Arabidopsis thaliana: one gene and its partner. The protein of the gene in region 2 interacts with the protein of the main gene of each other region in a pairwise test. Each region holds a gene or a part of one and is shown on either strand. Other genes may lie near its edges.

The links.
Region 1: the proteins of CUL3B (region 2) and AT4G08455 interact in a two-hybrid assay, tested with the Arabidopsis thaliana proteins (one study listed by BioGRID).

Annotation. Positions count from the first base shown.
Region 1 is NC_003075.7:5,373,629-5,377,596, reverse strand, and holds AT4G08455 (BTB/POZ domain-containing protein), read right to left. Parts: upstream 1,884-3,968; 5' UTR 1,788-1,883; coding exon 1,446-1,787; intron 1,146-1,445; coding exon 675-1,145; downstream 1-674. Other genes in the region: AT4G08460 (hypothetical protein (DUF1644)), read left to right, coding at 1-219.
Region 2 is NC_003070.9:26,201,458-26,206,679, reverse strand, and holds CUL3B (cullin 3B), read left to right. Parts: upstream 1-1,884; 5' UTR 1,885-2,126; intron 2,127-2,223; 5' UTR 2,224-2,237; coding exon 2,238-2,398; intron 2,399-2,473; coding exon 2,474-4,511; 3' UTR 4,512-4,694; downstream 4,695-5,222. Other genes in the region: AT1G69680 (ran guanine nucleotide release factor, putative (Mog1/PsbP/DUF1795-like photosystem II reaction center PsbP family protein)), read right to left, coding at 112-259, 418-494, 582-629, 709-795, 1,106-1,243, 1,343-1,378, 1,458-1,532. UniProt on the Arabidopsis thaliana protein: Component of the cullin-RING ubiquitin ligases (CRL), or CUL3-RBX1-BTB protein E3 ligase complexes which mediate the ubiquitination and subsequent proteasomal degradation of target proteins.

The DNA of each region.
Region 1 (3,968 bases), on a different chromosome or scaffold from region 2:
ATTGAGCCATACAATGGTTATGATCATCAAGATGACAGTGACGATTACAGTGATTCGTCGGATGACGAAATGGAAGGTGGGGTATTCGAGCTTGGAGCATTCGACCTGGGCCGTCTTCAACCGCGTTCGGCTGCCATCTCAAGCCGGGGAATTCGCGGTATGATCATAAGGAACCGGTGGGCTCGAAGCAGAGGTGCGAGCAGAAGGCGACAAACATAAGATTGATGATTGGAAGCTTGGAAGGCAGATGATTCTACACCGTCTGACCAAGTTAACCTCCGAACTCTATATATCGGCAGAGGGGAAGGCGAGTGGGAACAAAACAGAGGGTTGTTGATTAAAGTTTTTAGTTAGCGGTTTAGGTTTTCAGGTTTGGAAGATTTGAGCTGTTTGTTCCTCTCTACCTTTGATTTAAAGTGTTAAAACGTTTCATTTGCTACTTTTATTTGATTTGAAAATATCTCCATTGGCTTCTTTTCTTAATTTCTTTAGCATGGTTTCAAACTGGTGACCACTAAAATACATTCTTAACAACGAACACTAAACTCCGGTCGATTTCTAGTGCTTCACAAACACAAACCCCATGTTTTGGTGACCCTAACCATACTATACCTAAAAACGAAATGAAGGTAAACCAGAATCTACTCTTGTTTAGGTCGACAATAAAGAAAATTTCAACTAGTTTTGCTCGTACTAGTTCCTCCAGCTGCCGTATTAACCTGTTTCGAGAGATAGGCTTCATAAATTTCAACGATAAGACGAGGATCCTTCTCCACGAGCTCCATATATTCCTCTCTTTTAGTAAGTTTATCCATATTTTCTACGATCTGCGACAACGCAGCATCGAGAACATGTTTCGCGTTGTGCTGGTGTGCAAAGGCATAGGTCATGAGAGAGTTATCCGGACTGAGTTTGGTAACCAAAAACCTCTCACAATAACTCTTGAGATGTTTCACTTGGTATTTCTCTGACATGACCAAAAGATCACATGCCATTTGCTCATCAAGACATGCTTCAGCTGTATAGAGATAATATACGAAAGTCCGAAGAGCGTCATAAGATACGTCGCTGATCTTGATCGTGCCGCTTAGACTCTCTTCCATTTCATTCTCAAGCATTGCTTTGAAAACTGGAGAACGACTCACCTGGTAGCAATATTCACACATATCATCAATTTCAGCACAAGTGTACAAAAACACTGCTCTTCTTCCTAAAACATAGAACACAAGAACAGACCCTAACTCTCAAAATTAGCCAAATGGTTCCTAAGTAACAACAAACCCTAATATTTTTTCTTTCTCTTTCTCTCTATTTCTAATCTATCAAATAGATTCATATCTAAACCATCAAAAACAGAGATTATCACAAGTCAATTCTACAAATTTCAAATCAAATTAATCAAATAATTTCAGAGAAATTAGGGTTTTAGTGATGTGAGAACGAACCAGAACGGATTTATGAGCGGGAATAGGAGGAGATCCGGCGTTATCTTCAGAGGCGATGAGAACAACATCAGTGAAGGATCTAGAGGTTGAACTAGTTCCATGATCAAGAGAAGAAGATAAGCGAAGGAAAGCAACTTTAGCTTTGAGGTCATCGATCTCGCGTTTGAGTTCTTCTTCAGTTTCGCCGGCTTCGACGTAGCATTCCTTGCAGGTCCCGGCGTTGCGAGGGAGGTACTCTTCTCGACAAGAGATGCATCGCATCGGCGTGTCGGTATCGGAATCGGATTCGGATCCGGTTTCGCTATCGGAGCCGATTTGGCATCGGTGGTGGTGTCTCCTCATCTGAAAACGATGTCGTTTAAGGTCTCTCTTGCGATTTTGCTTTTTTTTTGGAGTAATTAACACGAGTAGTTCGTATCCGCACTGTGGTTATAATTTTATGATATGGAATTATGGATCTATTTGGTGGTAACCAAATTAACTAAACATAATTACTAATATAGCATTTTATTTGAAAAACTAAGATGAGGATTGGAAAAATTACCATTTTTTATTAACTTATTATTAATAATTTGAGCATATATATATATATTTTTAAATGCAACATTTTAAATCTATTTTGCGTAAAACATAATTTGAATTTTTTTAAATTAGATATGAAATTAGATAATGGTCAATAGTGTTTATAGTTATAAACAAGTTGTACGACATATAATCTATATGAATATAATGTTGTATTATACTATTTTCCACGAATTTACGCAAATTAACTTTAACTTTAAAATACTAAATTCTAAACTTCTATGTAAAAACAGTATAATAAATTTTAAACTTAAAAAATGATATATATCTTTAAGCGACGACTTTTTCTCTCAAATTTACCAAAGCTTTTCATCGTCTTTTCCGATTGCCTCTCCAGTGTCCGGCGCTGCGAAAGGGCTACCTCTTAATGAGGCTTACTGTTGCTGAGGTTCTCAGCTTTCTTCTTCGATTTGGCATCAGGGTCCGAGTTTCTTCAGGCGTGTGAGTGATGGTCGCCGGAGCTTGACGGCATGGAGGCAAGTGGTGCTGCATCTTTCCATTCTGATCCAACTTGCGTGACGACGAAAGTAGATTTTTGGAGGGTTGTTGAGGTCTCTTTGCGTTTACGTCAGTTCTGAGAGCTTCCTTGGAGCTTGGTTCTCTTGCTGCTCTCAATCCGGTGATTTTGCTCGGATTATATCGGTTTGGCGTCTGGTTCTCGTATTTTCTGAATGTTGCGGGTGTGTGTGTTTGGAGCTTCGAGCGTCTGGCTCCTTTGATCAAGCGTGTAGCTTGTTACGGCTAAACTGCATAGGTGTCTTCTCATTTCTCGTGTTTCATCGATCCTGCTCTCGGTTTACTTTAAAATCCTGCTTCTCCGTTTTATGTCCAAGCCCCTTTGATGTTGTCTTGCCTTGTTTTTGATGTGTTCTTTTGTTTGCTGCCTCGTTTCGGAGTTGATATGACGCAGATGGAGTGGGTGTTTGTTTGCTCCTTGTTTCAACACCGTTGACGGCTCAGGTTCTTGGGTTACCAGTGAAAGGCTTCCTTTCGTTTTAGTTTCTTTGACTCGATCTTTACCGTTTGACAGCATGATGCTTCTTCTTGAGGTGTTATAATTTAGAAAACTTCAGACTCGTTTTATCGCTTCATTGATTTCAAAAGCGTCACTGCTTTTATCGATATCAATGGACCGATTGTTTTTGCTTCCATGTTTTTAATCCTTTTTTTGCCATAGGACCAAACCATAGGATCTACTTCATGTAATTCCTAAAACTTTTTCATTATATGAAATATTTACATTCTTAGCAAAAAAAAAATGAAATGTTGAAATAGTATAGAATAAAATAAAATGTTTTTAATAATTGAACATTTTTCAAAATTTGGTAGTGACGGTGGCAACAGTTGAGGTGACAAGAATAGCGATGGCGGTTTCTTCCAAAAAGTTCGAGAGAGTCGAGATGCACCACCCAATAAACTTGAGGCATGATAAGATTGAAGTCACAAAGGTTTGAACTTGAAACCAATACCGTGACCAAACTCACGCCAAATGAGGGTAAAAATAGAGATAAACTAAAGCATTTCAAGATTATACTTTCATCGAATACCAAACGAATCAGTCTATCCACCAGATTTCGTGAATGGTAATGACAGGTCCAAACTAAAGCCATCACTACTGTTCTATGAAGGAGTCCTTTACTCTGTATAAACGAGTATGAGATCTTCAACATTGAACTTGGTAAGATAAAAGAATAAACAAACCTAGGCCTAACAAAAGATAAGGAAAATTTCCAGGAATCAAAGAGGCAAAAGGCGGTCTCAGTGTCAACCATCTACTCTTTGTAGACAACATGATGATCTTTTGTCTATTTGATCCTAAGAGCTGCAAAATCCTAATGATAACCCTGTAAAAATATGAACACTCCTCAGGCCAGATGATAAATAAGGAAAAATCTGCCTATAGATTAATATAACAGTTTTATTATATGTAAATTTTAAATA
Region 2 (5,222 bases):
CCTAACAGGACCAAAAGAATAACTACAAATCTTTAACAAAGCAAACTTCTTGCAGCCTTAGGTTACACCAAATTGGCAGGGGCTTGAATCGTCTTCTCATTTCGCATAGACTCAAGCTGAGGAACCGAAAAGATTCCAGTCATTGACTTTGAATGTAGAGAGTGATTGTTTAATGATATCACACATTGGCATTTTTCCAGATTGTGAAGCTGGGACAGCTAAACCAGATCCCACAGCATCCGCGCTTTCGCTCAGAGGACTGCACAATAATACGCAAACACCTTAGATGAAAAGACATGTGGTACAACAACAACAACAATAACCATATTTTGATATTCAAGTTCTGTATCAAAACGATGCATATCTATATTCAACTGCTTGCAATATAACTGAGTGACTCAACTTTGTGGGACTTACTTTATCAGGATAGGTTCATAGGCAGTCACTAAGACATCTGTATCAACTCCCTTAAGACGAATATTTGCCACATATACCTGCAGAATCATATAAACCAGTTGGTGTCTCAAGTAACAAACCCCTTTAGAATAAATAGAGAGACAGAACAAGGAGAAGCTTCATACTCTCACTAGGTTTTGTGCTTCTCTTCCCTGTCTTCCTTTGGATATAGCCTGTAATGATCCTTGTTAAGGAGAAAACAAATAGAAAGGAAAATTATGAGCAAAGACATCATATGTTTATGGACATTACCATCTCTCCAATAGCAGTTGTCGCAACAGCAGAGATGTTTCTGAAAGACAGTCCAGGCGCCTCAATGACCTCTGATTGCTCAATCAACTGAAAATTACACAGCAACATTACTAGATTGTCTTCTTCATATATATCATCAATCTTGGTAAAGATTAACCAAAAACACACCAGTATTAGTTCTATTTCGACTAGTTTCAGAGACTGAATCCACAATAACCAAAAAACAGCCTCACTAGTATCATCACAGGCAAAAAGGTTCCAACTTTGGGAAATCTATACACGTTAAACTCTATGTTTGTACTCAAGATACTAGATGTATTCTAGAGAAATAACAACACTAGTTCTTAAAGTTGGTTTGTCTACCATAAGAAGAGTTCTAGTGTAGTAGTGGTATTACCTGAAATCCTTCAGCATCTTGCTCACTCGCAAGATCATTAAGGAACCAAGAGGCACTGCCAATGTCACCAACCTCAGCCTTGAAATCCAACAACTCAAAAATCAAACTCTCATCTCTTGAAGGATCCACAAACACTTCCTGTGAAAACCAAACAATCAAACACAAATACAGAGTAAACTAGAGATTCTTCTACACATGTACTTACAAACAATGCCACTGAGAATAGAACCACCAAACCTGATGATCTGGAACTTGTCGGATATTACTCACATCCTGAAGATTCACAATAAGGAAGAAATGAGGAAACCAGTGAATTTCAATTAAGCAGCGAAAAGGGTTTTATTGAAAGAACCTGAAATCTTTGAGGGAAGACGGTGGAAATAGCGCCACCAAACAAAGGCCTCACCGAACATAACTCAACAGACATGTTTTGCTACATTCAAAAAACAAAATCCTCAAAAAACTAAACTTTGCCAGAAAAAAAAAATGCACTCACAAACATAACAGAATCGATTAGGGATTAAAGAGAAGAGAGAAGAGTACCAAATTGATCGATTGATGTATCTGGGGAAGTAAAAGAGAAGAACAAAAGTAGCAGAGAAATCAAAAAGTTGGAGTTTAGTATTTATATGAAAGTCAGAATCGAAAGAAGCGTTGCTTTGACGTCCCAACAAGTAGCTTTAACTTAACGCAAACAATTAAAAAAACAAACGATTAGCGTTCTTCAATCAACAATGTCTGCACTCTGCAAATTCACGATTGAGAAGAATGAGAATTACCAAGCGACATCGTTTAAATTAATACCGTAGTTTTTTTTAACAAAAGCCCAGGCCCATCTGTTTTATCTAGCCCATTTTAAACAAATAGAGATAATCAAAACCACTGGGATAATAATAAGATTTAATTTTTTTTCTTCCGCTATCATCATCAATCATCATCATCATCGTCTTCAAGACTTCAACCTTCAAATTCTTCATCACAAACCCTAACCTCCAATTTCTGATTCTACGATTGATCTAAGGTTTTAATCAATTCTTCTATCATCATGATTTATTCCTCGAATTTTTTCCGATTTTCCTTTGAACTGATTTTGTGGTCTCTCTTACTTTTTGGTTCAGTTTCATTTTCAACAATGAGTAATCAGAAGAAGAGAAATTTCCAGATTGAAGCGTTTAAGCAACGAGTCGTCGTTGATCCAAAATACGCCGATAAAACTTGGAAGATCCTTGAACATGCGATTCATGAGATTTACAATCACAACGCTAGTGGTCTCAGTTTCGAAGAGCTTTACAGGTACACTTCCATAGATTTCACTTTGATTCATCTCTTGTTGTTGTTGTTCTGCTAAACTTTGGTCGCTTATTTCAGAAACGCATACAACATGGTTCTACATAAGTATGGTGATAAGCTTTATACTGGACTTGTTACCACTATGACATTTCATCTCAAAGAGATATGTAAGTCTATTGAAGAAGCTCAAGGAGGAGCATTTTTAGAATTGCTTAATAGGAAATGGAATGATCATAACAAAGCGTTGCAAATGATTAGGGATATTCTCATGTATATGGATCGTACTTACGTTTCTACTACTAAGAAAACTCATGTTCATGAGCTTGGACTTCATCTCTGGAGAGATAATGTTGTGTATTCGAGTAAGATTCAGACTAGGCTATTGAATACGCTTCTTGATTTAGTTCATAAGGAACGGACTGGTGAAGTTATAGATAGGGTGTTGATGAGGAATGTGATTAAGATGTTTATGGATTTAGGTGAATCTGTTTATCAAGATGATTTTGAGAAGCCGTTTTTGGAAGCTTCTGCTGAGTTTTATAAGGTTGAGTCAATGGAGTTTATTGAGTCTTGTGATTGTGGTGAGTATTTGAAGAAAGCTGAGAAGCCTTTAGTGGAAGAAGTCGAAAGGGTTGTGAATTATTTGGATGCTAAGAGCGAAGCGAAGATTACTAGTGTGGTTGAAAGAGAGATGATTGCTAACCATGTGCAGAGACTAGTTCATATGGAGAATTCAGGTTTGGTTAATATGCTTTTGAATGATAAGTATGAGGATATGGGTAGAATGTATAGTTTGTTCCGTAGGGTTGCTAATGGTCTTGTAACGGTTAGAGATGTTATGACTTTGCATCTTAGGGAAATGGGAAAACAGTTGGTTACTGATCCAGAGAAATCAAAGGATCCGGTTGAATTTGTGCAGCGTCTATTGGATGAGCGGGATAAGTATGACAGAATTATCAACATGGCATTTAACAACGATAAGACGTTCCAGAATGCGCTAAATTCTTCGTTTGAGTATTTCGTCAACTTGAACACACGTTCTCCTGAGTTTATCTCCCTGTTTGTTGATGATAAGCTACGAAAAGGACTAAAAGGTGTGGGAGAGGAGGATGTCGATCTTATTCTTGATAAGGTGATGATGTTGTTTCGCTACTTACAGGAGAAAGACGTTTTTGAGAAATATTACAAACAGCATCTGGCGAAAAGGCTTTTATCTGGAAAAACTGTGTCGGATGATGCAGAGAGGAATCTGATAGTGAAACTGAAGACGGAATGTGGGTATCAATTCACTTCGAAACTTGAAGGTATGTTCACTGACATGAAGACCTCACACGACACGCTGCTAGGATTTTATAATAGCCATCCCGAGCTTTCAGAAGGACCTACACTTGTTGTTCAGGTTCTCACAACCGGTTCTTGGCCCACACAGCCAACCATACAATGTAACCTACCTGCAGAAGTTTCTGTTCTGTGTGAGAAGTTCAGGTCATATTACCTCGGGACTCACACCGGTAGGAGATTGTCTTGGCAAACGAATATGGGAACAGCAGATATCAAAGCAGTGTTTGGAAAGGGTCAGAAGCATGAACTAAACGTTTCGACTTTCCAAATGTGTGTCCTTATGTTGTTCAACAACTCTGATCGACTAAGCTACAAAGAGATCGAACAGGCAACTGAAATCCCCACCCCAGACCTAAAGCGTTGCTTGCAGTCAATGGCGTGTGTAAAAGGTAAAAACGTGCTAAGAAAAGAACCAATGAGCAAGGAGATAGCAGAGGAGGACTGGTTTGTTGTGAACGACAGGTTCGCAAGCAAGTTCTACAAAGTGAAGATAGGAACTGTGGTGGCACAAAAGGAGACAGAACCAGAGAAGCAAGAGACAAGACAGAGAGTAGAAGAAGACAGAAAACCTCAGATCGAAGCAGCCATCGTGAGGATAATGAAGTCTAGACGAGTGTTGGATCACAACAACATAATCGCAGAGGTCACCAAACAGTTGCAGACGCGGTTCTTGGCAAACCCAACAGAGATAAAGAAGAGAATTGAATCACTCATTGAGCGTGATTTCTTGGAGAGGGATAATACAGACCGGAAACTTTACCGCTATCTAGCGTAAAAAAGTCTGGATTGATTACACGGTCCCTCTGTTTATTTCGCATCGTTTCTTCTGTTAGTCAGCATTTCTTATTTGTTCTGTAGTCTGGTAAGTTATAAACATTTTGTTTCCGTTTTGAAAAGAAAATATTGATTTGCCTGTTATTGATCAAACCCATATACATCATCAAAGATATATAACCAGAGCGAGCATTTGCTTAACGGACTAATCTGTGCATCACACAGTTGCTTAACGGATATCTCCAACGTAGCTAAAAAGCTTGGTCTCTCTAATAATAACAATCTTCTCATACGAAAAGCTGCAGAATTTGGCCGTTTATGCGATGTCTAATTCGATTCTTCAATCATCGGAATCGTAAGATAACTCTTTACACTCAATCCAAAATGATACAATCTCCTTCCTTCTTCATTGAAATTGAATTTTTTTTGTATTGACTAATTGAATCACAGGGCGAGATTTGTAAAGCTGTTATATGTCCTGAAATCGCAGCATCTAGGTATAATGGAATGTTAAAGACTTATGTGTGCATTGATTTGGGTGATTGAAGTAGCTTAAGGTAGACAAGCTTAGGTTGATTGAAGTTTGTGGGACATCAGAATCTGAATTTCATTGTGTAAGTAGCACCAGTTTCTCTAACATGCAATTCAATCTTCAAAGTACTGATTTAGGACTGTGTGATCAAACAGGACTTGACCTCCATGATGGACCTTT